Xenopus tropicalis: one gene and its partners. The protein of the gene in region 1 interacts with the protein of each later gene in a pairwise test. Links are inferred from orthologs where the notes say so. Each region holds a gene or a part of one and is shown in the gene's direction. Other genes may lie near its edges.

Region 1 (11,137 bases):
GACAACTTGGAACTGAACTGAAAGTTCAACAGCCAAATGCAAGACTACTGAATAATAAGATACCGTAACTAAGAAAAATAAATTCCTACTGGCCTGTATTTGTAGTTAAAATAGGAAAAATATTTACACCAGCACACCCTTACCTCCTCCAGAGAATTACTACTTGGTGCACAGCCTAGAGAGTCGGCACTCTCCACACAGTCCGGTCAAAATATTTCAGCCAGCACAACAAGTAAAGTGCAAGCAGGGCTTAGCCCTTGCATGTTTATTCAAAATGCAACGTTTCGGGGGCGTACCCCTTCGTCATGCCTGACGAAGGGGTACGCCCCCGAAACGTTGAATTTTGAATAAACACGCAAGGGCTAAGCCCTGCTTGCACTTTGCTTGTTGTGCTGGCTGAAATATTTTGACTGGACTGTATTTGTAGTTACTTGGATTAATTTGGAACAGATAGGAACAGCTAAAGAACCGATTTAACGATAGATTGCATTAGAATAAGTAATAAAATGCACCAGGCAACCTGTGATTCCTATTTAAATCAGAGTTGTTACTCTTTGCAGGGCTGGTAATATTGAATCAAAATACAGGTACAAGACCTGTTATCTAGAAAACTCATTATCCCATTACAGGAAGGCCATCTCCCATAGACTCTATTTTAAACAAATAATTATAATTTTCAGAAATTATGTCCTTTTCTCTGTGATAATAAAACAGTACCTTGTACTTGATCCCAACTAAGGTATAATTATTCCTATAGGGTTTAAATGTCTTTTTAGTAGTATGGAGATCCAAATTACAGAAGACCTTGGGTCCCAAGCATTCTGGATAACAAGTCCCATACCTGTAGTAATTTGTCCTCCAACTTTGGAGTCTTGGTTACATGGGACCAGGCTACTTAAACAGTGTTTCAATAGTACTTGTAGTCAGGATAAGCAGGGGAGAGAATAACAAGGGAAAGATAGTGTTTTTAATAGGAGTTCATTTAAAAGTAACTTTAATATCACTGAGACTATTCTGTAAATGTATGTTTGAAATTTGCTTAGAATTAGCTTTGCTTTCATAATGCAAAATGTTACATTTGGGTTAAAGTATCCATTTTAGATAGTATAAAAATGTGTATTGTTAAAACAGCTAGATTATGAGGAAAACAATCCCAGAAAAACTTCCCCCGCCCTGATCAACCTAAACCAGGACCGTTAAAAGGTATGGAATAAAAATTATGAAATTATTGATTAAATAAGGACTTTTTGGTGGGATCTCTTACATTCTTACATTATTTGTACCTTCTCAGTTTGTGTAATCCTTACCTTAAGTAGGTTCTGCTCAGTAAATAATCAATAAGCTTGAGCCTTATCCATTATCCACATTTTACCCTTTTGAAGGAAAGTCATTTTGATAATAGAGTTGCCATATTAGTACCACCTAGAACACTATATTTATTCTGCACAAGACTTTATCATACCTGATTAAAGAGCCGAGGGATCTTTCTCTGATTGCAGCTACCATTTTAGCTTGGTGTTCATGGCTTGCTGTTTGCAGTCTAGCCTTTGTAGCTCTGATCACACATTTCTAAGGGTGGGGGGAGTGAGATTTATGTATTCTTAAGGGAGGGAGAGAGGAGAGAACTGAGCAGACTCTTTCCCCAGTAATGATGGATTTTTTTGGGAAAGGAAGTCAGTTACCCTAAGTACCTGTTTACAAAAAGAATATATAATATATATATATATATATATATAGATAGATGACACACATATACGCTCACCTAAAGGTTTATTAGGAACACCTGTTCAATTTCTCATTAATGCAATTATCTAATCAACCAATCACATGGCAGTTGCTTCAATGCATTTAGGGGTGTGGTCCTGGTCAAGAAAATCTCCTGAACTCCAAACTGAATGTCAGAATGGGAAAGAAAGGTGATTTAAGCAATTTTGAGCGTGGCATGGTTGTTAGTGCCAGACGGGCCGGTCTGAGTATTTCACAATCTGCTCAGTTACTGGGATTTTCACGCACAACCATTTCTAATGTTTACAAAGAATGGTGTAAAAAGGGAAAAACATCCAGTATGCGGCAGTCCTGTGGGCGAAAATGCCTTGTTGATGCTAGAGGTCAGAGAAGGGTATTAGTATGGTGTTCCTAATAATCCTTTAGGTGAGTGTATAAAGTGAATAATGTACCCCCTATTGTAAAATCACAGAGGATTCCCATACAGGTCATTGAACTAACAGAATCCAAAATGGGGAGCTCCTGTACACAACTTTGAAGGCCTGGATGATTACTGTTATAGAGATGTGGAATCTGTGCTGTGGGCTGGTGCAGCAAGTGCACTATATAAAGTACAGCATTGCTAGCAATATTTGATTTAGTCCTCCTCTAAAGTGCAATGATGTCTCTTATACTATCGTCTCGGGTGCATCTATCTAATAAACTGTTTCATAGAACACAACCTTATCTTTTAAGCTTTTCAGCTGAAGCTAAATTTCCGAATGAAAACCTTAATAAGTAACAGCCACCAAATAAAAATTGTGATTCAAGCTAACCATGACTTATTTAATCATAACCGCCGAGTTGGTTTTTAAGGGTTGGTTATTGGTTGCTACGGTATGTTGATTTTAGGATTTGTATAGCATAAAGAACATTAATATATTGCAGACTCTGCATTTTGCGTCTATGCACCTTGCAAAGTTAATTCTATCAGAACCTGATTTTAACCAATAGCCAGTCCATGGCAGGCACTTTAAGTAAGGCAAATTTTTTAAAGCCATTAATGTTTTCTTATTGATTTTACTGTACATGTTCTGTGAGCAAATAAAACTGATTACTTTTGGATTTGTTTGATTTGTGTTCATTTTTATAATTCCCCAGTAAACTGTAAGAAATATTCAGATCTCTTTATTGCCACACTATAATGAAGATTCTTTAAAGGAGACATATTGGATAAATGGGAAAAAACGCTAATTTAGTAGGCAATTATGAATAATATATGGTGCTGGTTTCACTTTGGGCTAAACATTAACCCTATCTGTAACAATGGCCCCTTTATTGGAGCTCCCTATAGATCCTATCACTTCTCCTTCCAGTCTGAAATGAAGAGTGGGCGTGTCCTAATGGTCCCTGCCAGAAGCACAGTAGGAGGGGGATAGCCAATCATAGCCCTGCACTCACACAAGCAAAGACCGGCTTCAGTTCCCTATCAGGTCAGCCTAGCTGCTGATTGGTTCCTATCCTACAGCGCAGTGTATGGAGGGCCGCCGGCTCCCCTGCACATCCAGAGAATTCAGCCAGCAGGAAGTGGAACAGATGCATACCCCCCAACTGTCCCGCTTTGAGCGGGACAGTCCCGCTTTTTATAGCGCATCCCGCTGTCCCGGATAGTTCCCTGAATGTCCCGCAATTCCGTAATAGATTACGGAAATGCGGGACATTCATAGAGCGATCCGCGATAGCGGGATGAGAGGGCTTAAGCTGAGCGCTCCGACTGTGTATGAAGGGCACTGTGTATGGGGGGCTCTGTGTATGGGGGGCTCTGTGTATGAAGGGCACTGTGTATGGGGGGCTTTGTGTATGAAGGGTACTGTGTATGGGGGGCACTGTGTATGGGGGGGCACTGTGTATGGGGGGCTCTGTGTATAAAGGGTACTGTGTATGGGGGGAACTGTGTATGGGGGGTTCTGTGTATGAAGGGCACTGTGTATAAAGGGTACTGTGTATGGGGTCACTGTGTATGGGGGGCTCTGTGTATGAAGGGCACTGTGTATGAAGGGCACTGTGTATGGGGGGGCTCTGTGTATAAAGGGTACTGTGTATGGGGGGCTCTGTGTATGAGGGGTACTGTCTGGGGGAAATTGGAGGCACTGTCTATGGGGTAAAGTGGGGGCACTTTCTATGGGGGGTACTGTCTATGGGGGACCTGGGGGGCACTGTGTATGGGGGGTACTGTCTCCCCTGTGTGGGGGGGCAAAACTGGTAGATAGTTATAACTCACTTATAACTGACTGCCTTCTCTCTATATTTGTATTTTATATGTAGGAGTTGCTATTTTGTTTTCCTTAGGTAGTACAGTATAAGGGTATAGCACAAAGGAGTATTTTTAGAAAAACATGGGGTGTGTTAATTGGGACGTGGCCACAAAATTGCCGCGCTGCGTGCGCCAAATCTTTTTGTCCCTCTTTTCGTTTTTCAAATGTTGGGAGGTATGCAGATGGGCGGGGCCAGTGGGGTTTTTGTGGAATTTCTCAATAAATCAGTCAGAAACACAACATTTTTAAGCATAATCCTTCTATATCTAGAGGAGTATAATTCACTGGTACATTCATAATTTGTATAGGATAAAAGGCAATCATGTAGTTTAAGACCTAGATTTGTGGGAAGGCTCAGGCCCGAGGTTGGCATGCTGCCAGGGCCAAGTCTGCACTAATAACTAGTGACTGGTAATTATCTTTATCACTTTATTAACCTCAATTAAAATTAGCACCAAGCTTCATTTTTACTGCAAAGGGGACTATGTTCGGCGTCTTTTTCTTCGAAAAAATGCATATTCTTAGTTTTATCTATTAGAAGTCAAGCAAAAGATGCGTCATTTTAGTTTCAATGTTTTTTTTATTATGCGCTTCGCTTCAGAGCTTAGTTTCTGCTTATACAACCGGAGAAGAGAAAGCGATGTAACTGTGCCGGAAGTTTACAAGCTTTTCCTTACCGGAAGTGGCGCTCTGGTGCAACGCTGTCACAGTCTCGTCCTGCTACAGCAGACTCGCGGTGTTGGGTCCGCCGAAAATGGAGTCGATCAGGAACCTGGCGGAAAATCTAAGAGTAGTGCTGGGGAAGCTTCGAGGTGATTACAAAGACAGTCACTCACCTGTACACTTTTAAGGTCTCGACAGTGTGACACCAGCTGGGTTTTACTTGTTGCTGCGTTATATGAAAGTGGGAGTTGTAGGTCGACAGCATTACATTGCGCAGCCGGAGTCAATTATGAAGCAGAGCAGAAAGATTGGCTTCCCTAGTTGAGGGAGTGTATTCACATATATAAGGGATGTCAACATTGAAACCAAATATTAAGTACATTTTCACCTTGGCATATTGTTCCGATGTATATATGCTGGAGGCGGCATTGGTAGCACTATATATCTGAATTAAAAGGGATTAACGCTTATAGAGTGTATTAACCCTTAATTATATTCTGAGAATTGTAGTCTAACAACATATAGGGACGTTAGAAACACACTGTCCAAATAGTAAAGTTGGAGGGGTTGAATTGGTCATTTTTCTTCAGGAATTCATTTCATGACCTATGTTGTATGTATGGCAAGGGCTGTAAATGAACTCGATCCATCTGATCTGACCGGGTAAAAATACCAAAACTCTATTCAAGCTTATGCAAAATCCTGGTTTAATTATAAAAGAGGCTAATTATGATATTATAATAATAATAATCCCTTAAGGGACAGCCAGAATTTCATGGGGGCAGTTAGATATTGAATTTAGATTCTCTTTAATGAATATGTCTGTTTTGTTGGGAATATATGATGTATGAGCCTATGGTGAATATAAGGATAGATCTCAGGTCCAGACTAAGGGGCTGATTTACTAATCCACGTATCCGAAAAATTTGGATTGGAAAACAAACATTTTGCGGCTTTTTCATATTTTTTGCGACTTTTTCGTATTTTTTGCGACTTTTTCGTAGCCGTTACGACTTTTGTGAATTATCGCGACTTTTTCATAGCCATTATGACTTTCGTGAATTGTCGCGACTTTTTCATAGCCATTATGACTTTTGTGAATTATTGCGCCTTTTTCATAGCCATTATGACTTTCGTGAATTGTCGCGACTTTTTCATAGCCATTATGACTTTCGTGAATTGTCGCAACTTTTTCATAGCCATTATGACTTTTTTGAATTATCGCGACTTTTTCATAGCCATTATGACTTTTGTGAATTGTTGCGACTTTTTCATAGCCATTACGACTTTCGTGAATTGTCGCGACTTTTTCATAGCCATTACGACTTCGTATTGAGCGCTCAAAAAAGTCGCAAAATACCGATCATTACGAAACAAACGCATTCGGACGCTTTTCGGACGTTCGTGGATTAGTAAATGTGCCCCTAAGAGTGAGACTGAGTGCTCTTGCCTTGTTTCTGTAGATGGAGAACCCAGAGAGAGTGAGAAATTCAATGCACAGCATTTCTGGGGAACACTGGGTAAGTAACTGACACAAGGCTTGTAACGTTATGATGGAATAAAAAACAGAAATTGTCTGCTAGGAATTTTCCATTTGTTATGTAGTGCCTGTACATGATTGGTTGAAGTAGCTTTGTACAGTGTGACACAGGGATGCGCCTTCTGCTTTAGTTTAAGTTTATAGAGAGAGTAAATGCTTTTTCTTTTGTGTACAGAGGGCACTGCACTCTAGAAAGGCAGCAGAATTATATATCTACTGCCTCTGTCATTGACTGTCTGTAGGAGCCTTCTGCTATCAGCAGTAGGCTGCGAGGTGTGGTTCTGTATCATCTCCAGAACATCTGTTCAACATTTATTCCCTGTAAACACTGACACATTCCACAAGTGTCTTACACAAAAAAAAAATACACATTATGATATATTTTCCAGTGCTTAGGGAATCGCTGCAGATAATGCAAATGACAAGGTCATTACTTATTGCACTGAAAGTAAGTTTAATTTACACGTGCTTGGGGGAAGGGGTCGGGTGGGTGGCGGGGTCATTCTGGTCAAAAAAGATGAATTAAATGTCCCCTTGATCTCCTGGCATGCACCTGGGAAGGCGAACTTGTTGGAAATCCTCTTTAAGGGTTTGTGAGCCTTAAAAAAAAAAAAATGCAAAAAGTTCCTGTAACTGTACAGGAAAATCTCCTTGACTTACAGTTACAGGAACTGACCAGCAGGTGGTGCTGCTGTTACAAAATTCATTATATTGGTAGGTAATAAAAACTTCTGAAACTGAAAGAAAGAAATAATTAATGTAAATTGCAAAAGTGCTTAAAAAAAGCACCACTTATTTTTTTAATATTCTTATACTCTTATTCTTCAAGATCTTTGAGTCCCCCAAAGTATAGAAGTGAGGAAATTGCTATATACATATTATTTGTGTCTCTTACAGTTATTTCCTATATTTTTCATAGGACATTCAATTAAAGCAACATCTCAAGAAGCGACAAAGCTGAGTTTGGCTTTTTTGAAACCACCTCTGCCTTCAGAAGAGGTAAGTGATATCCCATACAGACAAACGGTCTATGTGAAATCTTTATTCAGGATAACACATAACTTATTTCACCCTATTTCCCTTACCCCAGGGCAGCCAGAAGCTATGTGATGGACTTCTCAATGCTATCTTAGCAGATGCCACTGTGTACTATTCTCTCCCAAAGGAACAAGGTGAGAAGCAGTGTCCTGGACTAGTATCTGGTACGGTGTGATTTCTCAGCAGTCCGTATATTCAAGGTTTATCAGCCATTCTTTGGTAATTTGTATGGAGTTTTTCATAGTTCAGTTGGGTTGAAAAAAGACCAAAGTCCATCAATTTAACCCTTCAAAGCAAACCCCAGCACACATTTAGTTTGTAAGCTCTACGGGGCAGGGACCTCCATCCTCTTGTCTCTTTGATTCTATTATTTTAATAACCCCCTGTATTAATCTATTCTGCTGTACAGCACTGCGTACATAAGTAGTGCTTTATAAATAATGATGTGCATACATACACATAAACCCATTGCTGTCCTTAAAAAACGATTGTGGAAATCCTGAAGAGTGCTGACACTTTCTATTGCTATTCTACTACTGCTGCTCTGGCACCCAGGTATTGTAAAAAACTTGTTTGGTGTGCTCTCCATTCTGCACTTTGTGTGTGTGTATATATATATATATATATCAAACTCAACAGTAGAAAGCACTCACAGCTACAGCATCAATCAGGTCAGTGATTTATTTCAGCATACCATATACACGTTTCGATCACCACAGGATCGTCATCAGGATATATATATATATATATACCAACATCAAAACTAATTGTAGATTGTAGTATCCCAGAATCTGCGATCACATTACTCACAAAGGGCATTCCCTAACCACACTGCCCACAGAGCAAATGGTCCATCATTGAACCCTAAATCTTTACTCTTGTCTAGGTATCACCTTGCGTAAAACAGTGCGAGAGGCCGTGGCAGACATTATAGAGGGTACCATCCAACTTGCAGAAGTCATCCTAAGCTCCCGTATTCAGAGGTACCACTATTTTAATTTTGTATTCATAATGCTTCCCATACCCATACATTTGTATTTTATTTTACATTTGTTTCTATTCACTGTCTCTTCTCTTTCTGACTCCTGATATCCTCTCAGTCTGTCACAGGCACAGCTGGTATCCACAGGCAGTGTATGGGAGGCATGTGACCAGTGGGAAAAACTTCCTAAAGGTTTGCCATCATATATAGAAATATCTTTTCACCTTTCCATCTGTATTCTTTCAGTGTCTATTAATCGAGGACTGTTGATCCACCTCATGAGCAAGAGTACAGCACAGCGATTCTAAGTGCCATGATATGCACTGATAATCAGCAATATTGTATTGGGCCTCATTGTAAGGGACTAGAACTTTAATGGACTACTTTGTCATGTCCTACATTGTCATGCTGTAAAAGGTTTAAAGCCAATTGGCACTGTGTCCCCTAATTTTTTCACTGCTAGGTGTTTGTAAGCATGCAGTGAGAGCATGTTGCCTTCAGGTGGCACAACAGTTAACCAGCTTAGAGGTGACTGCAGGGTAGATCTGGCAAAAGCTTCCCCTTTTACCAACTACAGTCAGTACAAAAACTCAGGCGCTTAAGCACCTCATAGTACACCAATTCTTCACAACTTTTATTCACTGAAAGGAGCAAAAGCTCTTGTTAATGTGCTCCTTTCTGTTTTACAGATAACCTTGCTGCAGTGCAGGTGACAGTATCAGGGTACCTAGATGTTGTTAAGGATGCCATAGAGGAAGTGGAACAGGTAATACAGTCCCCTCTTCTGCAAGCATTTTTCCTACTTGGTAATATTATGGCACATATAGCAGCCTTGTGTAATGGTATAAATTCAGTGATGGTTGATTGTAGTAATAGACTTTAGTTCAGGAAAATCTCTAAATCCTTGTGATTTTTGGTAATCTTACATATTTTAATTATGTCTCTATCCTCTTTCTTATCCCACATTCCCTGTGTGCCTACTCAGGCTCAAGCAGATGGGGAGGATCCATTCAGCGATATCCCAGAGGATGATGAGGTTGGTGCACGTGGAAATCAGGACACATATTGGTCAGAGGAAGATCGTAGGCTCATGGCTCCCTGCCTTGGCCTCATGAAAGCATCCAAAGCCTGCCTGAAAAAAATTCTTGGGGCCATAAAAGCTCATGGGAAAGCCGACACAGCAGAGCATGTGGCCCAGCTAGATGACCTGGTGGATGTCACTCTGGAGGTCAGCCCTAGGTAACAACTGGCTTCACATACCATTCTGTTTATAGTATCTTAAACAAAGTCACATGTGATATAGATAATCAGATATTTTGCTAGGCATTTCAGTATCCAGTATCATCATTATGGGTCCATTAAACAACATTCAGTGACTAGCAACTGTTACCATATAGATGAATATAAATGGAATAGGCTTTAAAGGAGAACTAAAGCTTAACCAAGAATAGACTAGAAATACTGTACATTATGTTATGGTGTTCTTTACCAGCCAAAGGCAACGGAATCCCTTTAGCAGACAATCTGTAAATTTGATGATGCCTTCAGTAGCTCCCCTTCTTCTTTTCTACTGATTCACAGCACATGCTCTGTGCTGCTATCATTCACAATATACCATTATTAATAATCAGCCCAGCTGTATCAGTGTCTAAGACATCAAACCTCCTTTTCTGCTGCATGATTTGTGACAACCCCTATGCTTAGCTTCGCAACAGCTGCCCAGAGCACACTGAGTATGTGCAGTGTCACTGACACTCGTAATAGAATCCAACATAATTACTCCCTTTGCACAACTTTGAAGGCCTGAATCATTACTGTAGCAGAGTTTCTTAAACTTTAGGCTGGTGCAGTAAGTTCAGTATATAAAATATAACATTTCTACCCATATTTGTTTCCTAGTTTACCCAGTAACCCATAGCTATAGGTTACTGCTCCTGAGCAAACTTAGTGCCTTTTATTACATAACCCCTTAAAGGGGTTTTTCACATTTGAGTTAGCTTTTAGTATGATTTAGTGCTAATCTGAGACATTTTGCAATTAGTCTTCATTTTTTATTATGTGTAGTTTTTTAATTATTTCAATTTTTGTTTGGTAGCTCTCCAGTTTGGGGGTTTAGTAGCTTTCTGGTTGCTATGGTCCAAATTACCTTAGCAACCAGGGAGTGGTTTGAATGAGAGACTGGTATGTGAATTGGAGAGGACCTGAATACAAAAAAACAGTTATAAAAAGAAACAATAACAGTAAAACTGTAGCCTCACGCAACAATAGTTTTCTGGCTGCCAGGGTCAATGACCCCCATTTAAAAGCTGCAAAGAGTTAGAAAAATAATGCAAATAATTAAAAAACTATAACAAATAAATAATGAAGACCAATTGAAAAGTTGCTTAGAATGGACCTTTCTAAAACATACTAAAAATTAACTTAAAGGTGAAACCACTCCTTTAGGTGTTTTGAGATATTAATTTTCTTTCTTTCTTAGTAAGCCAATTGAATTCAGTTTTAAAAGAATGTACAATTTCAATTCAACTATATGACTATCTGTCATATAGAGTAAGCCTATTGAATTCCATTTTAAAAGACTGTACAATTTATAGTCCGTTATATGGCATCTGACTAGAGGCTTTGGAGCTTATGTTCATCTGTTTCCTAAAACCCACTGCTGGCAGTTACTGTTTCTCATCCTCTATGGATTTTCCTTACAGTGTTGATGAGCTGGCACTGAGCTTGTACCCTCCAATGAACCATGCAACTGTACGCCTTAATGTAAGTCCACTTTTGGCTTTTCTTTTATGTTCTAAATCTGTCTTTTTCAACATATTTCATTTGCTTTTGTCTATTGTATTTTGACAGGCTGCAAAGTTATCTTCTGTACTGAAAAAAGTTTTCAGCATCACA
Region 2 (11,037 bases), on another chromosome or scaffold:
TGGCACAGTTACACTATGACAGTGAGGCATGCTGGGTAATATAGCCAAGAGAAAGCCAAGGATGGGAATGGCACAATATGACAGTGTTACCAGCACATTGGTGCCCTCCTGCAGGAAATGAGGGACTATAGCTTTAAGCATTTGGATGTGATTGTGTTTCCTGTTAGTGGTTTGGGGACAGTAGGGCACAGGGGTGTGGTACAAAGTTGGTGATTTGCAGACTCCTGGTACCGACAGGAAGTTGATATATTTATCATTTCGTTCTGGAAGTTTCCATAAAGGGGAAGTATTTACCCGGAGACAATAAATGCAGGGCTGCACCTGTTCAGCTCCCACCTGTGGGCTAGAATGATGGACCAATAGCAACGCCTTACAAGGATGACGTTTGTTTTGTAGGCAGCGTTGCACTCCTGGCAAGTTGGTTCTGTCCCCGCCCACTAGAAATTTGGCTACACGCCGGCACATTGAGCCAAAGAGCAGTTCCACTAGCAGGTTGCCAGTAAGTCTCCAGTTGGCACTAGGGTGCCACCTCCCTCCTTTAATACCGGCCACATATTGAACCCATGGCTAGTTAGCAGTTAATTTAGATGCAATCTCCATGGCTGTACAGGCATCTAAATTACTTGCTAAATAACCATGCAGAATGTGGATTCAATATGTGCCTGGTATTAAAGGGGTGAGGTCAGGGTTGGACTGGGCCGCCGGGACATGGGGAAAAAACCCGGTGGGCCCCTGCGACCCAGACCCGACCCATGATGTGTTAAACTTACGCGCGCTCAGGGGAGGACGTCGGGGGAGGGGGTGTGGGGGACGCGCCCGGCGGGGGCACCTGGGGCGGAAGCCTAGGTGGGCCCTGCACCCCCTAGTCCAACCCTGAGTGAGGTGGCAACCTTAGCTAGGGCAATTACATGTACACATTTGCTGACCCTGTTCTTGCTCCCCACCAATTGGAAGTTTTCACTCCTGCCATCGCCAGCTTCCCAAACCTACCCCCGTGGGGGTAGCCAGCTTCCCCTCTCGCCCCCCCCCCCCCCCCCCCAGTATTGCTAGCTGCTATTATGTATAGTGTTTATGCTGTCATTAAAGGTCACCACTGGGGCCTGTTTGTTATTAGACACACCTCTAGGTCATGTGCTCCCTAATATTATTAGGTATAGGTCACCTTTAGAGTAACTTTTAGTATTTAGTTTTTAGTTATAGAATGGTTGGTCCTTAGCAACGGTTTAATTGGTCTTCATTTATCTTCAGCTTTCAAATGGGGGTCACTGACCCCGGCACTGACTCTGACCCGAGCAAAACCTCTGCTCTGTGAGGCTACAATCGTATTGTTTATGTTCCTTTGTATTCCTTATCTTTCTTTTCAGGCTTTTCCTATTCATATTCCAGTCTCTCTTTCATACCGCTGCATGGTTGGTAGGATAGTTTGGACCCTAGCAACCAGATAGTTGCTGATATTCTAAACTGGAGAGCTGATCAAAAACCACAAATAATTAAAAAAAATGAAGGGCAATTGCAGATTGTCTCGAAATAGTACTCTACTCTACAGGGGTACTCTACTCTATATCAGGGGTCTCCAAACTTTTTTTACCTGTGAGTCACAACTTGGGGAGCAACACAAGCATGAAAAATGACCTTGGGTGCCAAATAAGGGCTGACTGGTTATTTGGTAGCCCCTGTGTGGACCAATTAGGCTCGAAACGTTGCTGCTGCCCGTATTGTGACAATATTCAGCTTTCAAAAGGGGGTCACTGACCCCGAAGCCAAAAATCTATTGCTCTTTGAGGCTACAATTTTATTGTTATTACTTTTTTTACTACTTATCTTTCTGTTCAGGCCCTCTCTTATTCCAGTTTCTCATTTACACTGCTGCCTGGTTGCTAGGGTAATTTGGACCCTAGCAACCACATAGCTGCTAAAATTCCATACTGAAGAGTTGATGAACAAAAAGCGAAATAATTGAAAAACCACACATAATTAAAAAAACAAAGGTGCTCTCAATAGCATACTAAAAGTTAATTTAAAGTTGAACAACTCCTTTTATTTTTCCCAGGCAAGCCATGTTGTTTATTCCAGTTAATGAGAAGCATATACTACTTAGGATTCGGTTGGGCCTGGACCGTGGATTTGGCCGAATCCGAACCCTGACGAAAAAGGCCGAATACCGAACCAAATCCTGGATTCGGTGCATCCCTAATCTGTATAAAGATTTCAAGTTGTTGTTGACATGATTATCATGTGGGCCATTGACGTCAGAGGATCCAAGATGGCAGCTATAAGTTGCTGTTAAGGAATACTTTTACTGCAAAACAAACCTAGCGTTTAGCAAGGGAGCACTAATATTGGACAAGGTGAGGGTTTTTGGATAGGGAGGCGCTCTTTTACTGTTCCTATCCAACTGACCAATTGAACTGAGCAGAGAAGCACCAGTAGATTCCTCCTGTATCATTAACTTAAGCTTTTGCCATTCTGTCTAGCTGTCTGGCTGAACAAAGCAGCAAGACGCGCTCCTGAATAAATGTATTAGTAGGCAGTTTAAAACTGCTAATGTCATTAAAACTTAAAAGAAAAACAAAAAAAGAACTTTTGTCTTTTTGCATTTCAGAATATGGTGTCAAGCTTTCGGGTCTCAGAGCTTCAAGTGCTTTTGGGCTTCGCCGGGCGAAACAAAAGCGGGCGCAAGCACGACCTTCTTATGCGGGCCCTCCATTTATTAAAGAATGGCTGCAGCCCTGCTGTCCAAATTAAAATCAAGGAACTCTACCGACGACGCTTTCCGAGGACCCTCGACGGAGTGACGGGATTAGCGCCCATCAGGTCCAATGTTTTCAATCTGGACAGCAGTGCCCCGGTGGATCCGGACTTGGCAGTTAGTGGGATGCACTCCCTGCCTTCCACCTCCGTTTCACCTTGTTCCCCCGCATCCCCTCTGGGGTCTGTACTGCTGCAGGACACCAAAGCTCCATTTGAGATTCAGCAGCTGTCCCCCTCGATTCCTCCTGTGCACCCAGATGTCCACCTTAAGAGTCTTCCGTTCTACGATGTGCTCGATGTTCTGATTAAACCCACAAGCTTAGGTAAGATCCGAAGTGTATAAGCTTTGTGCAGTGATTAATGGATTTGTTCCCCTCTCAGGAGGGGTGACCAGCAGTGTTCTAAAAATATTCACCTGTAATTGCTAACATGCCAACGTAAGTACCCACTGCCAGTCACTATCTGTTCTAGTACAAGTGTGCTGCTCTACCCCGGCAGTTCTATCTATTGTGTGACAGATAAAGCCCTTGCGTTATTGTCTTTCCAGGGTACTTTCTATGGGAGCACTATGCTGCCAAGTTGACCCAGTCTCCCAGGGAATTTTTTTGCAATGTAATAGGCTGGTACAAAGAATCCCAAGGTAAAACTGAATCAATTTTATTTATCGGGAGGGTGCTTCCTAATTAATATGACTTTCCTTGTCCTAAAGGGGTAGTTAGACTTTCTCCATTGTCAGCTTGGGGGACATGGGGAACGAGGAATAGCATGGTGTAGCTTGTACCACTAGGAGGCAGGACACAACAATAAAACAAGAACTAGCTCCTGCTCCTCTATACCCCCCCCCCCCCCCAGCAAGCCCAGTTTGTTTTTTTGTTGTCTACTGGATTTTATTATTTTCTCTTTATACAGTCAGTTTATTCTGACACCAGGAGATGCAAAAGACTCCTACACAGAGTAGGGTGTCAACCTCAGGCATCTCCCATCATGGGATTGTCTCAGGTTTCTTCTGCTGAGTTTTATCCTTCACTTCTGGGGGGGGGTTGTTAGTGACCCCTATAAACACTACAGTGGCTACAGCACACTTAACTCCTATTGGCTGTGTCTCCTGTCAATCTGACACTGCTTCCTGTGTCTGTGACAGACTGCTGCAGATATATGTTAGATTAGTGATATGCTCGGTCTGTGTGCCTATGCCATTGCTAGGGAGAAATTAACCAATGACCTGTCAATTTATGCAACTGGTTAGAGCGCACAAGCAACCAATAAATTGGTCCAATAGGAAACAAGTAAGGGCAAAGCCTGGCAGTGATAATGGAACTGAAACTGGAACTGGAAGTTCTCAGTGTGTCAGGTTAAAAAGAGGCCACTCCCATCCCTTAAAAAACAGATCAGAGAGACAGAAGGACTGATTTAACAGGAATAAAAAGTAGCTTTTACAGTGGCTTTTACTTTTTTATGAAAAATAGATTTTCTAACACGCTGAGAGCATTGTTGGTGGTTTAAAATGAATTGGACATTGAAGGTGAACAACCCCTTTAAACTTTCCCCTATTGGAATTATTTTGCTCTTAAACCTCATACTGCCACCATTCAAGGTGAATAGTGGCAGTATGAGGTGGCAGGGGAATGCTTGGTTCCCCATAGGGAAATCCCACCACCCTCTGTCCCATTTTAGCCTATCACTGAATGGGCATCCCAGCTGGCCATGGGGATACCAAAATTTGCTTACTCACTAGCTTTTGACCTTGCTCAACAATCCAAAAGCCAAACGCAGAGCTACTTCCCTTTCCAAGGATAAAAACAAAGGACATTCCAGAAATCCTTCTCCCCTAGGAATCTAGCCTCTCACAGTTCAGATCATTGGATGATCATATTCTCATAGTGTCTGTTCTGGAAACACTTCAGAGGTCCCTTCGGGCTCTTCCAAGACTCCAAGGCTCTTCACAACAAGTCCTCACCTTTGTTCCCTTTTCACGCCCAGCTTGACCAGATTAATCAACAGGAATGGGACAAACAAGACGTTTTGAAGATAGTCACAGCTTCTTAAGATTGTATTCATTCTCACCAGAACTCACCGAGAAATGGTCTTCACCATCTTCAGTGGGTGCTGCTGTATTTCTGCTTTCTAAGAACACCAGATGCCTTATCCTTCAATGACTCTATGCACAAGATGCTGGAAGGCTTACTGCGTTTCTTGTTCATGGCCTCAGGCATTTCTCTTTGCCCTGTTGTGGCTACAGCCTGGGTTAGCAGGCAACACATTAGGCACATTGTTGCGAGTGATAGTAGTAGTCCTGTGGCCAGACACTTTACACATTGTTGCGGATCTGATGTATCGCTTTTACAGATTCAAGTAATTGATAGGATTTTTCCAGATGAAAGACGTACAGACATGTATGAGAGGCTTCTGCGTTCTGAGGTCAAATGGATATTTATTCTCGATACACAGCATCCCAGTGGCCTCAATTCCATTTTTCTAGCCTCATGAATACTATCTGTTCTGTATTCTCTCATTTTAAGTGGATTACTAATTTATTATCAATCACTATTTATTACAAATTATTATCTTTTTATTTATTATGGCTCAATATGTATCATATGAAAAATGTGTGAAAGTGATCGTTATATGAAGTCTTGCTGATTGTACATATTATGTTGTTGAAGGTCTTTTTCCATCATTGTTCCAATCATGAGGGTGGGTGCGTGTCTGTTTTACTTTGTATGTCAATCAATGTGAAACACTATTTAAACCTTCCTATCATTATGTGTTTATGCCTATGATTAAGTGCGCACGTGCACGAAACGCGTTAGACGCTTTGTTTTTAAATGGACTAATAAAGACCTGCTTTTAGTGAGACTTCTCTGTCCGGAGCGCTTGGTGAAATTATTGTGAGCTAAATGTGAATATAAGGACAGATCTTTTGCCCACTCTTGGACTTCAAAGAACTCAAATAATTCATCTGACCACGGAGGTTTCACTCGACATAAAGTGTCATACCTTCATGTTCTTATTTTTCCTCCCCATCAGAGGTACTTGCGTTTTGCCTTCCAAAACCACCACTACCAGTTTATAGCCCTTTCGTTTGTGACCTCAGCTCCTCATGTGTTTACCAAGACTATGGCAGTGGCCACAGTGGTGATGCAGAGCACGGGGATATCCATAACCCCTCATTTGGACAACTTACAAATCAAGTCACCTTGCCTCTCAGAGACCCAGCATTCACTCCTCTCTACCATGAACACACTGCAGGAACTTGGTTGGTGCTTCAATACTTGACAAATTCTCCTTGATTCCCACTCAGTCCTTAATGTTCCTAGGGATGCAGTTTAATACACGGGCCAAGAGGTTATCCGTACCACAAGAAAGATTCTCCACCACCTGTCACTGGTAAAGACCAGCCTGACGAAATCAGCACACTCAGCCAGGTTCTGCATGAAAGTCCTAGGGAACTTCAAAGGAACATTCTCTTGGCCTGGACAGGCCCTATCCCAGGAAATTTGACTGTCCCGTTAACAGGAGCATCTCTCTCCTGGTGGCTCCAAACCAATCACCTCTCCACAGGCCGACCCTTCGGGGACCCCCTGTGGTGACTTCTGACAGTGGATGCTAGCCTTTTTGGTTGTGGAGTGGTCCTGGAGGGCCATTCAGCACAAGGCCAGTGGACAGATGCTTTCACAGCCTTCTGGAACTTTCTCCTTGCCTATGCCTTCTCTCCACTTCATCTCCTTACCAGGACAGTCAAGAAGTTCTGACGGGAACTGGCCAATCTCATTCTCATAGCCTCTTAGCACCTGGTTCTTGGATCTTCTAAACCAATCCTTGGCCTCTTCCTCTCCTACCAGATCTTCTCTCCCAAGGTCCGATAAAGCACCCCAATCCAGCCAGCCTCAGTTTAATGGCGTGGCTCTTGAAACCAGGATCCTAAGGCCACAAGGGGTTCTCTGATGCTGCACCTTTCAAACACAAAACTTCGGTTTCACTTCAGTGGCTCGCTTGGAAGATCTTCTTCCTGGCAGTATTACCAAAACCATGTCAGCATTCAACCGACATGGTTCTGGTAATTCTTGATAGTCTTATATATCTGTTGTATTAAAGTTGAAGTATGTTGTTTTACACTCTTGTTTGTTTTTTTTTTTTTAAGAGCCTAGAATTTTAATGAAATAGTTCGTTTCTATGGATGCACTGAATCCCATAATTGGTTCAGTATTTAAGCAAATTCAGTTTCAGGGATTTGGCTGCATACCGAAATCAAGGGTTTCTAACCCTGATTTTTCACAGTCCCATGAATTTCAGTGCATTTACCATGTGCCATGGCCAGGGCCACCATCAGTGGGGTACAGGGACACTCTAATCAGGGGCACCAAGAGAGGAAGGTGGAAAATCGTGATTTGCAAAGGGGGGCAGGGCTTGCAAGGAGAGGGTGGCGTTAATGGGTGGGGGGGTTATCATAATGGGGTGGATGAGGAGCATTACCATGTATGCATGGGCATTTCTTTTCCACTGGGGCCCTGTTCTACTTGTTGGCACGGCTCACAACCCAGCGGACCAGGTGACTGGTGAGCTAATAATTGATTACCCATGGAAGGAAGGGTCCTGCTTACTTGTATTGGATTAGGGAACCCACAGTTACTGATGGCTACAGATAAAATTTGTCCCTAGTAGAATTCCATCAGGAAGGCTAAGGAGAAGAATGGTAGGGACTGAGTTAAAATAGGCATTTATTGAGAGTTAGTGTGGATCTAGCAGTCTAATTTTTCTAAAGTTTTGAGCTCCAGAGCCACAAACACAAGCGCCTAAAATATGTTATTGCCTATGCCTCGTAGACAGACTGCAGTTATTTTCTTTTAGCGAGATGTTTTCCTTTTTTTTTTTAAAGGATATTTTAGAAAACATTTGTATTTAGCATTTTGCAATATGTTCGTGCTCACAATTGCTCTTGACTGATTCTCTTCAGTGCAGAACACTCTTCAAAGATTTCAAGAGAAATTTTTCATCTTCGCATTGACCCCTCAACAGGTGCGAGAAGTTGTCATCTCCAGGTAAGTTATTGCCATGCTGCTTATTGGAATCTATTGGGGTCTGTCACTCCTCTCCCCCCACATTGTCTGTCGCTACCAGCTCATCATTATCCTTTATTAAAGGAGAAGGAAAGGCTAATAAAAAGTTAATCTCAAGCTGCAGGCATACCTTCAGTTGTCTCAGTAGTGTCCTTAAGTCTCCCCATATTTCTCCCGTTCAGAGCCAAACAGGAAGAAAAACGCTGAACTGTATAAAGAAAGTTCCCATAATGCCGCACTCCTGCACCGAGACCAAGTGAACATGCTCAGTTAGTAAGACTATGTGGAAGCTTCCTGCTGATTTGCTCAGATCCACATTTCTAAGGGGGGAGTGAGTTCTTAGCATTCTTGAGGGATGGGGGAGCAGGAGAGGAGAGAAAGCAGAGAGCTGCGTGTCTGTGACACATGAATTACAGACACAACAAATCTTTTGACAGAGAAGTCAGTGCAGCGTTTCTGTGAGTGCTTATGGCTGTATTTACACAGACCTTTCTGATAAAGCTTACTGAGTTTTTACCTTTCTTTCTCCTTTAAAGGTGGCCATACACAATAAGATCCATTTGTTTGGCGAGGTCGCCATGCGAGCGGATCTTCTCACGATATCCCCACCTACAGGTGGCCAATATCGGGCTAATTCAGGGCCAAACCATCGGATTAGAACGGTGGGTGTAGGGCCGTCGGTTCAGGGATTGCATCAACAAGCTGATGTGGTCCCCGATCCGACAGAAAAATCAAACCTGCCCAATCCAGATCTGGCTGATTTCAGGCCAGATTTTGGTCGGGTAGGCCCGTTGTTCATGCCCAAACACGGGCAGATAAGCTGCTGAATCAGTCTAAAGGACCAATATTGGCAGTTGGATTCGGCCCATGTATGTATGGCCACCTTTAGATAGCAATATTTTAGAAAGATTTCCATTTATTTCATATTTGTCATTACCCTATTTCTCTCAAGACCCTGTTTGTTTCTTCCAATAGAGATTACATGCCAGGTGGCAGAAGAGATTACTCAGTCCAGGTCCAGCTAAGGTAATGTTCACGCCGCTATACCACATTTGCCTTATTAGAGTCATCTGCAGTTCTTTATGCCCGCCTACAGAGCCATTTGTTTCTATTTTAAATAGGTTATGTTTAGCAGAGACTAGCTGTCCTCAAGAGGATAACTATCCGAGCAGCCTGTGCATTAAAGTTAATGGGAAGCTGTTTCCTTTGCCGGTGAGTTAATAGACTGAACCGCAAGTACAACTGTTTTTTCCCTGTAGGCTTTATATATACCGATACAAAATTAAGGAACCTAAGAATAATAAAAGTAAGGTGCTAATTGTAGTATTCACAAACCAGTGTGTGTGTGTAAATGCCCATCTAGAATATATAATAAATACATATAAATATATATATATAAATATTTATATATATGATGTGTATAGTAGGGAGTGAAAGTTTTTGGGCTTCTGGTGCTCTGGACACATGGACGTCATGTACAATGCCAAGATGCAGCAGATATGAAGGCTAATTTCACCTTAAAGGAAAACTATACCCCAAACAATGTAGGCCTCTCTAAAAATATATTGCATAAACAGCTCATATGTAAAACCCTGCTTCATCTAAATAAACCATTTTAATAAAAATATACTTTTTTAGTAGTATGTGCCATTGGGTAATCCTAAATTGAAAACTGCCATTTTAAGTACTAAGGGCCGCCCCCTGGGATCATAGGAGTCACAGTGCACACAAACAAGCCAAGGCACACATACATGCTAGGCCCAATCAGCCAATGAATGGGCAGAGTTCTGCCTTTTGCTCCCACACTACTTCCTGTTACAGTTAGAGCTGCATCACTTCCTGTCAGCTGATCTCTGAGGGAGCACACAGCCCATCACTAAATGGCAGCTCAAGGGAAAGGATGAAAAAGGGCAATAGTTACTGATATATATTCCTATTTGGTCACGTAACATAATATAAACTATCTGTTGGTTAAGTATTCATTCTGGGTATAGTTTTCCTTAAACCCAAGAAATTGATGGAGTGGTTTGTGGAACAAAAACCCCAGGAAGTGGGGATAGGTTCTATATGCGCCCCATCATGAAGCTGCCCATTTAATTTGTATAGGATCTCAGTTAGGAATGGGTGAAGACTTCAGTTTGTCCAGGCTTTAGGAAGAGATTTGAATTGTCTGTGATACGTGATGGGGCAAGCTGCAAGAAATGGCTACAAACTCGTTTTTGAGCTGAAAAGCATCAGCACTCAGAACTGCCGTGTATATTCCATTGCAATGAACAGTAAGTTTTTAACTATTTTTTCAATTCCTATTTTCCAGGGATGTGCTGTGCCACCGAAAAATGGCGTTGAGCAGAAACGACCCGGTCGCCCCCTCAACATTACCTCACTAGTTCGGCTGTCATCTGCTGTTCCAAACCAGGTTTCCATTTCGTGGGCTTCTGAAATCGGGAAGGTGGGTGAGTTCTTAGCACCGCCTCTACCCGATTTTGTTGTGAAATAATAACACTAGCTGCTGGTAGCTATCCTCCATTCCAGCTGTAGAAGCTGTACAGGCAGGGGCTTATTCTGCCTGGAGAATTTCTTTATTGTGATTATTATGTACTGTATGTAACATTACAGAAGTTGCAATATTGTAAAGGAGATCAGTGTTAAATATCCTAAAATATACACTTCTAAAAGCTGAAGCACAGAAATGAAAGAACGTGCAATTTAATGTTCTACTTCTTTAAAAGACATGCCACTCCTGTTAGGGTCTTCCCAAAGGCAGGGGCTTAACTGTGGGAGATAGCTCTCAGTACAAGTTGATCCAGGGACTGGTCCGATTGCCATCTTGGAGTCAGGAAGGAATTTTTTCCCTCTGAGGCAAATTAGAGAGGCTTCAGATGGGGTTTTTTGCCTTCCTCTGGATCAACTAGAAGTTAGGCAGGTTATATATAGGCATTATGGATGTCTTTTTTCAACCCAACTTACTATGTTACTCTGTGGAGGAAGCAGATCCTGAGTCTTCTGTGGGGCCCACTGGACTAATACGCAATTCAGTCCCAGTGGGCAATTTACTCCATTGCCTAAAGGCACAGCTGCCCTTTATCCACACTAACTTCAGCCTATCACTTTGCGGCTAAACTAAAATTTTAAGATCCCAGCAGCAGTAGCATTATCATTGAAATGATTTGAAGGGTTGTAGCTAGTAAGCCATGGCACGGAGAACACTGGGGTTGATTTTGGGCTAAAT
Region 3 (11,137 bases), on another chromosome or scaffold:
TACTGACGCGTGGGTCACTCAGGAGGAAATTCAAAAGAGACTTGAACATGTAAAGGTAAACAAAGGTCCAGGACCGGATGGGATTGAGCGCTGTGATTGCCAAGCCTCTTCACATAATTTTTCAGGATTCGTTGAGGTTTGGCATGGTGCCGAGAGACTGGCGGATTGCTAATGTGGTGCCATTATTTAAAAAGGGATCTCGTTCTCAGCCTGAAAACTATAGGCCTGTTAGTCTGACATCAGTAGTAGGAAAGCTTCTGGAAGGGGTAATAAGGGATAGGATAGTTGAATACATTGCAGTTCACAATACTATTAGTTTGTGCCAGCATGGTTTTATGCGTAACAGATCTTGCCAGACTAATTTAGTTGCCTTTTATGAGGAGGTGAGCAGGAACCTTGATGCTGGAATGGCAGTTGATGTCATCTACTTAGATTTTGCTAAAGCGTTTGATACAGTACCTCACAGAAGGTTAATGATCAAATTGAGGAATATTGGCCTAGAACATAATATTTGTAATTGGATAGAAAACTGGCTGAAGGATAGAGTACAAAGAGTGGTGGTAAATGGAACATTTTCTAATTGGGCCAGTGTGGTTAGTGGAGTACCGCAGGGGTCAGTCCTTGGTCCTTTGCTTTTTAACTTGTTTATTAATGACCTGGAGGTGGGCATAGACAGTACTGTTTCTATTTTTGCTGATGACACTAAATTGTGCAAAACTATAAGTTCCATGCAGGATGCTGCCGCTTTGCAGAGCGATTTGACAAAATTGGAAAACTGGGCAGCAAACTGGAAAATGAGGTTCAATGTTGACAAGTGCAAAGTTATGCACTTTGGTAGGAATAATATAAACGCAAACTATCTACTGAATGGTAGTGTGTTGGGGGTTTCCTTAATGGAGAAGGATCTAGGGGTTTTTGTAGATCACAAGTTGTCCAATTCCAGGCAGTGTCATTCTGTGGCTACTACAGCAAATAAAGTGCTGTCTTGTATTTTTGCCGCTTTATAGGTCCCTGGTAAGGCCTCACCTTGAGTATGCAGTGCAGTTTTGGGCTCCAGTCCTTAAGAAGGATATTAATGAGCTGGAGAGAGTGCAGAGACGTGCAACTAAACTGGTTAAGGGGATGGAAGATTTAAGCTATGAGGTTAGACTGTCGAGGTTGGGGTTGTTTTCTCTGGAAAAGAGGCGCTTGCGAGGGGACATGATTACTCTGTACAAGTACATTAGAGGGGATTATAGGCAGATGGGGGATGTTCTTTTTTTCCCATAAAAACAATCAGCGCACCAGAGGTCACCCCTATAGATTAGAGGAACGGAGCTTCCATTTGAAGCAGCGTAGGGGGTTTTTCACGGTGAGGGCAGTGAGGCTGTGGAATGCCCTTCCTAGTGATGTGGTAATGGCAGACTCTGTTAATGCCTTTAAGAGGGGCCTGGATGAGTTTTTGAACAAGCAGAATATCCAAGGCTATTGTGATACTAATATCTACAGTTAGTATTACTGGTTGTATATATATAGTTTATGTATGTGAGTGTATAGATTGGTTAGTATAGGTTGTGTGCTGGGTTTACTCGGATGGGTTGAACTTGATGGACAATGGTCTTTTTTCAACCCTATGTAACTATGTAACTAACTATGTAACTATGTGAGAAGATCAACAGAGATGTTGAATGGTATCAGGGTTACCAACAAGAATCATGGGCCCTATAGGCCTACCTGGCCAGGCCCCTGATCAGCCCACTTCAGCTCATTGCACCTTTTCAGTGGCATTTCCCCCCAATGATGGCCTGGATATTGCTCAGTGCTCTTACTGTACTTACTATAATGCGTTGGTGATTCTATTATCTGTTGCTATTGAAGTATATAGTATAAGGGTTCCCATTACCCTTTATTATTGTATAATGTGTTGGGAAGCCATTAACAATTGATATTACTGGTGGTGATGTCAGGACCCATTGTTTTGCTCATGTAATTTGTAGGGGGTACCAGTACTACCTGTTCTTACTGAACAATGTGCTTTTATTATGACATAGACATTGATATTCTGAGACAATTTGCAATTGGTTTTAATTTTTTATATTTTTTTTGTTGTTAGCAGCTCTCCAGTGTGGTATTTTAGCAGATATCTGGTTACTAAAGTTGTGTGTAACCCTTTCTTGGCACACTCACTTATTTTGGGCTGTATTACTTGCTTAGTGCAGGAGATTTGGTTCCCTAATGCAGATAAAAGGTACTGGGACTGGTATTTTAGCGCAGTGCCTCCACCTAGTGGACACTGAGGAGCACACCTCAAGGGGATTTCCACTAGGAAATAATCACACACAGTTTGCAGCAAATATCAACTTTATATAACGGAGTGAAAATAAAATAGCATTAACATGCAAACAATAATAACCCTGCTTTGGAAACCTGTGGTATTTTAACCATGACTGGCTCAGTCTCTCTGGGACACAGTTCCACACTCCACTCCTGGAGGAAATACCCTTTCCCAGTTCAGTGCTGGCAAAGTCCCTTCCCCAGAGCTCTTTCGGTTTCCCCAGGCAGCGCTACCTGCCCCAAAGTACCTCTCCCTTTGGAATAGGCAGTTGCTCCCAAGTAGCAGGCCACGAAAAACACCTGTCCTCACCCAGGGGACACACACAGACTTTCAATATCTTCCCTCAGATAGATCACTCACTGGGGATCCCAGGTCGTAAAGGCATCCAACCGCTGTGTAGCAGATCTCACTTTACAGGCTGGCACTCAGCAGCAATTCCCTTTAGCGTCACAGTCACTGTTTACTGGATCTCTCTGTCTTAACTCTGGCAAACCAACAGGGGCTCCCTATATAAGCTGCTGGGCCCGCCACTGATTTTTGGCTCCAAACCTAGACACGCCTTTCTCTCCCAACAGTGCACTGGGGCATCCAGCCAATCGGGTTGCTCCCCAGTCTGTAGCCGGGTGGGATGATATCACAGACTGAGAAACACGGGAAAGAGTTCTCTGATCCCCTACATGTCTTTAGCTTATAAACCAGGCAATGGGTTAAATGGGAGACTGGAATATGAATGAGGGTGTTGAATAAAAAGTAACAATAATAATAACACTGTAAGCTCACAGAGCAATAGTTTTTGGGCTGCCAGGGACAGTGACTCCCATTTGAAAGCAGAAAAGATGTAGCAAAGGAAGGCAAATTGCAGAGTTGCTAGGAATAGGCCAATAGGTAAATAACCCTGTTAAGGTGGGTGTGACTTTAAAATATGGGAGTGGCCTTAAAAGTAACTACTACCACAAATTTATAAGGAAAGGCTGGTACTGTTTTCCAAAAAAAGGTGCCCACCATAACCATTACCAGACTGGCTGTGGTACAGAGCCCCATGGTTTGTTACAGTGGGCAACACAAGAGATGCCCAGACTTTATACTCACATAAAAACATTTTGGCAACCATAAGGCCTATTTTTGGGGCACTAGCACTGAGAAGCTTTATCTTTATTGCATTACACCACTAATGACCTATTTTCCATGCCGTTTGCTTTTAAAACAAATGGGGGAAAAACAAAATATTACTCAAACACAACTATTAGTTACACTATTATTATTATTATTATAACTATTATTATTACACTGCTGACCCTGAATATCACGTTATTACACATGGAACTGTCTTTGAAGGGTCCCGGCCATATCTAATAAAAGAAACAACTGAGAAGCAAATGCCCTGCCCATGCCGCATTCTCACTGTTTAACCTACATTACTATGAGAATGACCGGGACTGAGTGCAATGACTTGCCCTAAAGCTGCGATAGGGGGCGCGGCTGTTCACTCATGTGATTTCCGGTCTGTCAGTATGCCCTTCAGGTTGTAGCTATGGCGGCTTCCGGAGGCAGCGGAGAGAAAGCTACAGAGTTGCTGAGATGTTTGCCGCGGGTTACTCTTGCCAACCTGAGACCGAATCCCGGTGCCAGACACAAGGTGAGACTTACCGCTCAGATACTGTTTCCCCTAGCCGCACTTCTTTCTGTAATATCTGCGCACACATGCTTCCGAGATGCGCTCCATGCCAGGCACAGGCGGCTAATGTGATCCCTTGCGGGGTTTGCTCTGATAGGCATGCTGCTATCGCTTGTTAGGCACAACAAGATACAGTGCAGAGCAGTCTCGGTGTACAGCTATGCAGAACCTCTTAACTAGATGTATTGTATGCAGTGTGCAGCCTGCTTAAGGAACAGTAGTTCTCGCACCAGTAGTTTGGCTGTCTGCATGGCAAGGTCAGTTGTGCTTTATATAAAATATACAATACTTCAGCTGCCAACACTGATCAAATCAGCCACCGGTCATTCTAGCAGAACTGGCCTGGACTTGGGTATTTCGCATTCTCTTTAGAAAAGTGATTGAGAGTCAGTGCAGGTAATAATTCTTAATAAGCTTTTTAGCTCACAAATTAACAGAAACCATTGATGTTTATTGATTTAAAACAACAGGCAATAAGTATGTTAAGCACAATCCCTATTTATGGAAGTCAAGTTGAGCAAAGGATTATACTGCTCCTTTAAAAATTAGTAAATATAGCTGTCTAGTAAATTGGCCTTATGTGTATAATTAGTTAAAATAATGCATTCCATTCATGTATTTCATTTTCTGCTTCAACCCTCTTTGGAAGCTTTTCACTATGGTACATTATATAATAACTGGTATATCTGTATGTAATAAATAGGAAAAAATTTACCCAGATTCAGTAAAACATTAAAATCAAACATCTTATTGGTTTATAACAGATGAGCACCAGCAAATGCTGCCTACTGATTGGTTGCTGTAGGGGACTAGACCTGCTGCAAACTTTCACCTTTTATTATGTAACCCCTGTAGAAGTTTATAGGTAGATCGCCAGAAGCCTCCAGGGCTTTTATAGTTACCTACAGGTCCTGGTTGCAGTTAAATGTTAAAACAGACTGTGAAAGTGTGTGTACTCCCTGATTGCATTTTGTAACAGAATCCCTTTATCAGAAAGAAATTATCTCCTTGTTAATTATTCTTTTTTAACTTTTAGGAAAAAAGACGAGGTCGGGGTATCCATGGTGGTAGAAAAAGTGGCAGAGGGCACAAAGGAGAGACCCAGAGAGGAAATCAACCACGTTTAGGCTTTGAAGGTGGCCAAACGCCATTTTATTTAGTTATTCCTAAATATGGCTACAATGAAGGACATAGGTAGGTAGCTGATATGTTATCACAATATAAGTTTAACTGACTGCATAATTTAATTTTCATATATACCACTTGCCCCTTATAGGCATATCTACACAAGCTACACTGTTGATATGTACCGTACTTTACTAAAGTATTGTACAGTCCTCCAGCTCTTACTGAGCTATATCACCCACTATATCCTCTCCCAATAGTTAAGTATTTAGGGCTGTTGATAGAAGTTGTAGAGCAATGGCAGCAGACTAGCTGGAAATGTGAAGAATAATTTGAGATCTCTCCATGTGCACAGTGTGATGGATTAGTTTGCTTTTACTAATATTAGTATAGGAATGTGGAACAAGTTAAACAAAGGCCTCACATTATAGTGGTGTGAAGCAATAGTTTAAATCTTTTCCTAGCCAAACAAGCTGTTCTAGAAAAGGCTTAAAGGAAAGGTAAGAAGAGGTAAAAATCATGGGGGCGCCAAGTTGTTAGGAACCCCCCAGGATTCTAGTTGCTTTTCTGCTAGCAGCATAAAAATGCACCAGCTGGGTGCAGTTTGCTGAGTGCTGCTTTGCCATCTGTCTTTAAAGAAGTAAACCTTTTTTTTGTGTGCCCATACATAACTACCCGACTCACTGTGCATTCCCAGAAAGCTTCTTATCTGTCAGGCCCTCCACCACATAGGCCAGAAAATTCCAGCCCTTTGTACCACAGAAGTTTGGCAGCACTGGTGTTGGGGATACCTGGGAGAACAAAAACGATGGTGGCACATCACCAGTCTACTGCCAAACCAACCTTTCTAGTTACACATAAGAAGGGATCTATTATACAGAGGTGTCATTCTGAAAAGTAGTCAATGGGAAAGAAGGAGGGGGGGGTCTAATTATCAAAGATTATTATTACTCTTTGTATAAAAAAGGATACAAAAAAATCAGCTATTGGTTCTTTATAATGAAAAAATAAAGAAAATATACATTTTTTTTTTTTTAGGTGCAACACATGAATACACCACATTTATTTATCTTGTGGTGAATATTGGTATTTCCTCCAGAATATTGGTACTGTATTATTTTTAGTCAAAAAACCTGTGTGAATAAGGCATGTGATACAGGTTAAATAATAAACAGTGACAGCACTGTAGCACGAGAATCTGTATAAATTAACACATGGATCATAAAAAAGGTTGCCGGAATGTAGAAAGTTGTGCTGCTTGAAGATTGGTAGAGGTCACTGACAATACAGCTAGCAAGGGGCAGCTGATGAAATAATTCTTCCACTGGGACAGAATGCTATAATGTGATTATGTAAGATTCATTTTTTATATATAAAATATATATGCATTAATTTGAGCTTTGACATGGATCCAGGATAATGTAATGAACTTATATAACGTATTTATATTAAAGCAGTGTAACTTATTATTCTTTAGCTTTCGGCGACAATACCAGCCTCTTAGTCTCCGTCGTCTCCAGTACCTCATTGATCTGGGTCGAATAGACCCGGCACAACCCATTGACTTAACACAGCTTGTCAATGCCAGGGGAGTTACAATACAGCCACTCAAAAGGGATTACGGTGTACAACTTGTTGAAGAGGTAAAGTTTATCTGTTTTATCTCTGTATTTTCACTATCACTGTTCCCCTAATTCACTGAATAACTAAGTGTCCAGGTTTCTACTCACACAGACTTAATATACTTTGTATTTTCCTTATGTTGTGACATATAAAGACATAACTTGTCCTGAACATAATCTAAAAATGTCTATTGTTTAAAATAGCAACTGCTGTGTTAATTTAACTGAATCATTCTACAACCACGAGTTTTTTAAATATAGCTTAAAGGACAAGGAAAGGCAAAGTCACTTGGGGGTGCCAAAATGTTAGGCACCCCCAAGTGACTTAAATCGCTTACCTTGTACCCGGGGCTGGTGCCCCTGTACAGAGAGCACAGCACCAGCCCGGGGTAGCTGCAGCGCTTCCTCCTTCCTGTTCGCATGCGCGTGCATGTGCGGTAGAGGGAAAAGCCGAACTTTAACAGAGAAGTCGGCTTTTCACTCTACTGCGCATGCGCCGGTCCCGGGGTCCTGGCAGAACGAAGCAGGAAGAAGGAAGCACTCACTACAGGTACCCCTGGTGCTGTTTTCTCCTAACAGGGTCACCAGCCTGGGGTACAAGGTAGGTGATTAAAGTCACTTGGGGGGGGGCTAAAATTTTGGCATCCCCAAGTGACTTAGCCTTTCCTTGTCCTTTAAGATCACAGCAGGCATGTCTGTGACAGAAAGAAAACAGATTCCTTCTGCTCAGACATTAGTTTGCACAGACAGACAGACAGACATGGCATTTGGGTTGTTTTTGGGCAGATTTTGATGCCAAAATGCATACTTGTTGTTGCTTTTTTGCTGAAGTCTGCCTTGTCTGTGCACTAACAGGTTGATACTGTGCCTTTCAGGGCAGAAGGAAGCAGATCAGTGTCTTCTCCTCCAGCCAAGATATGCCCTTGGCCTGAAGCTCTTGGTTAAAAGTATAAATACACCTAGATTGTTTGAATACAGAAAGAGTCACCACCGTTAGAGAAGATTAATTGCGGGGTGACTAATCTCTTAGTGTGTCATCAGCCTAATCGTGTCTAGCTGGAATAGCAGAGACACAGTTACTCCAATCAAAGCCTCCTGCAGGCTAGCAGTTCACATGGGGCTACCAAATAGCCAATCACAGTCCTTATTTGGCCTCCCCAAAGAACACTAGAGTCTGCTTATATGTAGACTGTAGATTTATTTTTGTGGTATTTAAATATTCTGTACAGTGTACTGACATAGGTTAGTATGCACAGCATGCTTTATTTGTGTTTATTCACATGACTTGGAGCTGCTGTAGTTTTACTTGGCTACGGTACACATGAAGATTAATCTCCTTAAAATGATTTTCCACCTGGGAAAATGTAAATCACCACTGGGAGAACATACATTAACATGCTGCTTCTGCAGCATTGCCTCACAAGTCAGAATGTTTGGGGTCCTTGGTCAGCTGATATCTAATATTGCCATGCAAATCCTTCTTTTAAGTCTAGGTAATGGAATCCCATTCATTTGCACTGTAATTGCATGGATTACCCAAGCTCATCAATCATATTATTTTGATGCTTTTATAGGGTTCTGACATATTTTCAGCTAAAATTAACATTGAAGTGCAGTGGGCCTCACAGCTGGCCATCGCAGCAGTAGAGAAAAATGGTGGTGTGATAACAACTGGTTTCTATGATCCACGCAGTCTGGGTGAGTGTGTGAAATATTTTTATTCTTTCAATTGCATGAAATGTATTAACCATGGCTGAGCATTTAGTGCACCCTAAAGTATATTCCTAGTAAGTGCAAGCATATAAGCACTGAGAATTGACAAATGTTACTTCCCACTGATTAAAATGAGAAGTTGATGAATTTTTGCCACAGAATACACCCATCTGTATTTTCTAACATTGTCAGCTACATGTGATATTTCCTACTGTAGTCAATGGAAGGTGACCTTCTGATTTCCAGTGTTTAAATGCTGCCATTTTCCCAGTAAAGGCAGTGTTAGTTAAAAGCCCCATGCGCCTTGGTCCTAAAATGCACCGATTAAAGAAATCTATAGCCATCAGCACTATTTTTGTGATTATATATTGTAAATCTTCTGACCTGGTTCTTCCTATGTAACTAGCAGGTCATAACTTATCCCCCATCATTATAATCATCGTCATCATTATTAGAATTTTTATTATTATATAGAGCTACTTTTTTAATGGATCATTTTTCACAGCGTTTCTTGGGTAAATGCAATAACTTTTTGGTACAGGTATTGCATTCATTATCCAGAAAGCTCCAAATTATGGAAGGGCAATCTCCCATAAACTCCATTTTAATCAAATAAATTACAGTTTGGTTTTTTTAATGATTTCATTTTTCTCTGTAACAATAAAACAGTACCTTGTGCTTGATCCCAACTGAGGTATAATTCATCCTTATTGGAGGCAAAACAATCCTATTCTGTTTATTTTAGTTTCAGTGATTTTTCAGTAGACTCAAGGTTTGTAAATCCCTTACTCCAGAAATCCCCAGGTCCCAAGCATTCTGGATATCAGATCCCATACCCATACCTGAAACAGTAGCAGGTAGTGGGACCAGTTCAAGATTACAGGTAGCAGAACACTGGTATAGAACCCAAGTTTTCAGGCAAGCAAGATTGTTAACCTGCAAATTATTTCTCCTGCTGAGATTGGAACTTGTGCACTGTAACATTTATATTTTAACCATTTAGTTTTGGAACATTGAAGGTTTCTAAAATATTATATAATGTTAAATGCTGATTCAGCAGGTGCTTAACTTTGATACCTCTGCTCAAAACCATTTCAGTTGTCAGAAAAATTACTTCAAAGTGACACATTGTAATTTTGACAGGTGTGTCACTATGCCTACATAAAACCTAGTGCCACTTTTTTTTATTTTTTAATGGATGTGTCCCCCTGCCTCCCCCAGCTTACCCCTTACTCACCTGTGTTGGTCTCCAGTACAACTTAAGATAGTGCCACATGGGTTTAAATATTAAACCTGCAGAAAATTGTAGGGCCAGAATCAGCCCCTACAGGGGCACTAGCCTCCTACCCCAGATGCAGGCAGTCGCGGTGGATATTGACAAAAAAAATGCTGGAGTTCGCATTTCACAGCCGATATCCACAGCGTCTGCCTGTTCCCCGGTGGAATCAATGCATCTGGGTGAAGCCTAGGTAGCAGGCTGGTGCCGGTGGGGGTGGGGGAAGATTTTCGGTCACGTTTTTTTCCTGTAGGCCAAGAATCAGCCTTGTGTGACACTAGCCTTGAAGTTAAGCAGATTCCTGGTTTACATTATGCTTGGGGACAAACCCTGTCTGTATAGAGTCTCTGTTGTATCTTTAGGGGCAACCATGAACTGAGCATTTGTAGGTGAAAGTTATATAAGAAACTTCATATTTTATCATATTTATTTTTGTGGTTTGTTATTAGCATGTTATTTCTGCATCCCTCTCTAGCTAGTAATAAACATGTCTAGGGTAAGTAATACCTGCAACCTGTAACCAACTTGTATGGCTAGATATATATTGTTTTTCTTTGATTTCTGCCCAACTTGTTTGCAGTTTCCCTGCATGTTTGCAACAATCACAATCACAGCATTTAGAGTTCAGCTGCTCATATCAATTATATTATGATTTATTATATGTAATGAATATGTATGGTGAGCAGTTTTGCAATTCTTATTAACTATCCTGTTTCTCTTTGTCCACAGAGGTTCTGTGCAAACCGGTCCCTTTTTTTATGCGTGGCCAACCTATCCCAAAACGAATGCTCCCCCCTGAGGATTTAGTAAAGTATTACACTGATGGTGAAACCCGTGGATATCTGGCTGATCCAAGAAAAGTATTGGAAGCTAGAAAGCAATTGGCAAAGAAATATGGCTATATTCTACCAGACATTACCAAAGATGAACTGTACCAGATGTTGTGTACCCGAAAGGATCCCCGGCAGATATTTTTTGGGCTTGCCCCAGGCTGGGTAGTCAACATGTCTGAAAAGAAGATCCTAAAGCCGACCAATGAGCGTTTAGTTACATATTATAGCTCATGATCCCCAGCACTATGCAAATATTAATAGGTTTTCCCAGAAGGAGACAGTGCTTACATGTAGCAGTCCAGTAGCTGCAGGCTCTATAGAGAAGCATTTGTCACTCCATGCTGAGATCCATTTCATAGTGACGTCTCACAGCACTTCTACGGACCTCTGTCATGTTTGTACTTTTTGAGAAGATTTCTGATTTTTTTTTTTTTTTTTCAAAATAAATATTATTTGAAACATTACCTAAAGTAGTATGCTCTGTGGTTTTCAGTCACTCTTCATATGACATTATAAACACAATGAAACTTGTGGGATTCACTGCAGACACTTTCCCTAACCCTAAAGGGATTGTTTACC

Evidence for each region.
Region 2: the proteins of ccndbp1 (region 1) and pias2 interact in binary tests that used the Homo sapiens proteins (3 or more experiments, as listed by UniProt). The two-hybrid records come from large-scale screens. The link is inferred for Xenopus tropicalis from reciprocal best matches to the Homo sapiens genes CCNDBP1 and PIAS2.
Region 3: the proteins of ccndbp1 (region 1) and mrpl15 interact in binary tests that used the Homo sapiens proteins (3 or more experiments, as listed by UniProt). The two-hybrid records come from large-scale screens. The link is inferred for Xenopus tropicalis from reciprocal best matches to the Homo sapiens genes CCNDBP1 and MRPL15.

Annotation. Positions count from the first base shown.
Region 1 is NC_030686.2:18,723,896-18,735,032, forward strand, and holds the start of ccndbp1 (cyclin-D1-binding protein 1), read left to right. Parts: upstream 1-4,691; 5' UTR 4,692-4,773; coding exon 4,774-4,831; intron 4,832-6,145; coding exon 6,146-6,202; intron 6,203-7,141; coding exon 7,142-7,221; intron 7,222-7,312; coding exon 7,313-7,394; intron 7,395-8,146; coding exon 8,147-8,243; intron 8,244-8,360; coding exon 8,361-8,434; intron 8,435-8,931; coding exon 8,932-9,008; intron 9,009-9,227; coding exon 9,228-9,481; intron 9,482-10,944; coding exon 10,945-11,005; intron 11,006-11,092; coding exon 11,093-11,137. Other genes in the region: znfx1 (NFX1-type zinc finger-containing protein 1), read left to right, coding at 1-21. UniProt on the Homo sapiens protein: May negatively regulate cell cycle progression. May act at least in part via inhibition of the cyclin-D1/CDK4 complex, thereby preventing phosphorylation of RB1 and blocking E2F-dependent transcription.
Region 2 is NC_030677.2:206,569,357-206,580,393, forward strand, and holds part of pias2 (E3 SUMO-protein ligase PIAS2), read left to right. Parts: intron 1-2,602; coding exon 2,603-3,074; intron 3,075-7,705; coding exon 7,706-7,790; intron 7,791-8,783; coding exon 8,784-8,834; intron 8,835-8,929; coding exon 8,930-9,020; intron 9,021-10,122; coding exon 10,123-10,257; intron 10,258-11,037. UniProt on the Homo sapiens protein: Functions as an E3-type small ubiquitin-like modifier (SUMO) ligase, stabilizing the interaction between UBE2I and the substrate, and as a SUMO-tethering factor.
Region 3 is NC_030682.2:115,000,002-115,011,138, forward strand, and holds mrpl15 (39S ribosomal protein L15, mitochondrial), read left to right. Parts: upstream 1-3,728; 5' UTR 3,729-3,845; coding exon 3,846-3,950; intron 3,951-5,025; coding exon 5,026-5,183; intron 5,184-6,591; coding exon 6,592-6,757; intron 6,758-8,310; coding exon 8,311-8,434; intron 8,435-10,454; coding exon 10,455-10,792; 3' UTR 10,793-11,017; downstream 11,018-11,137.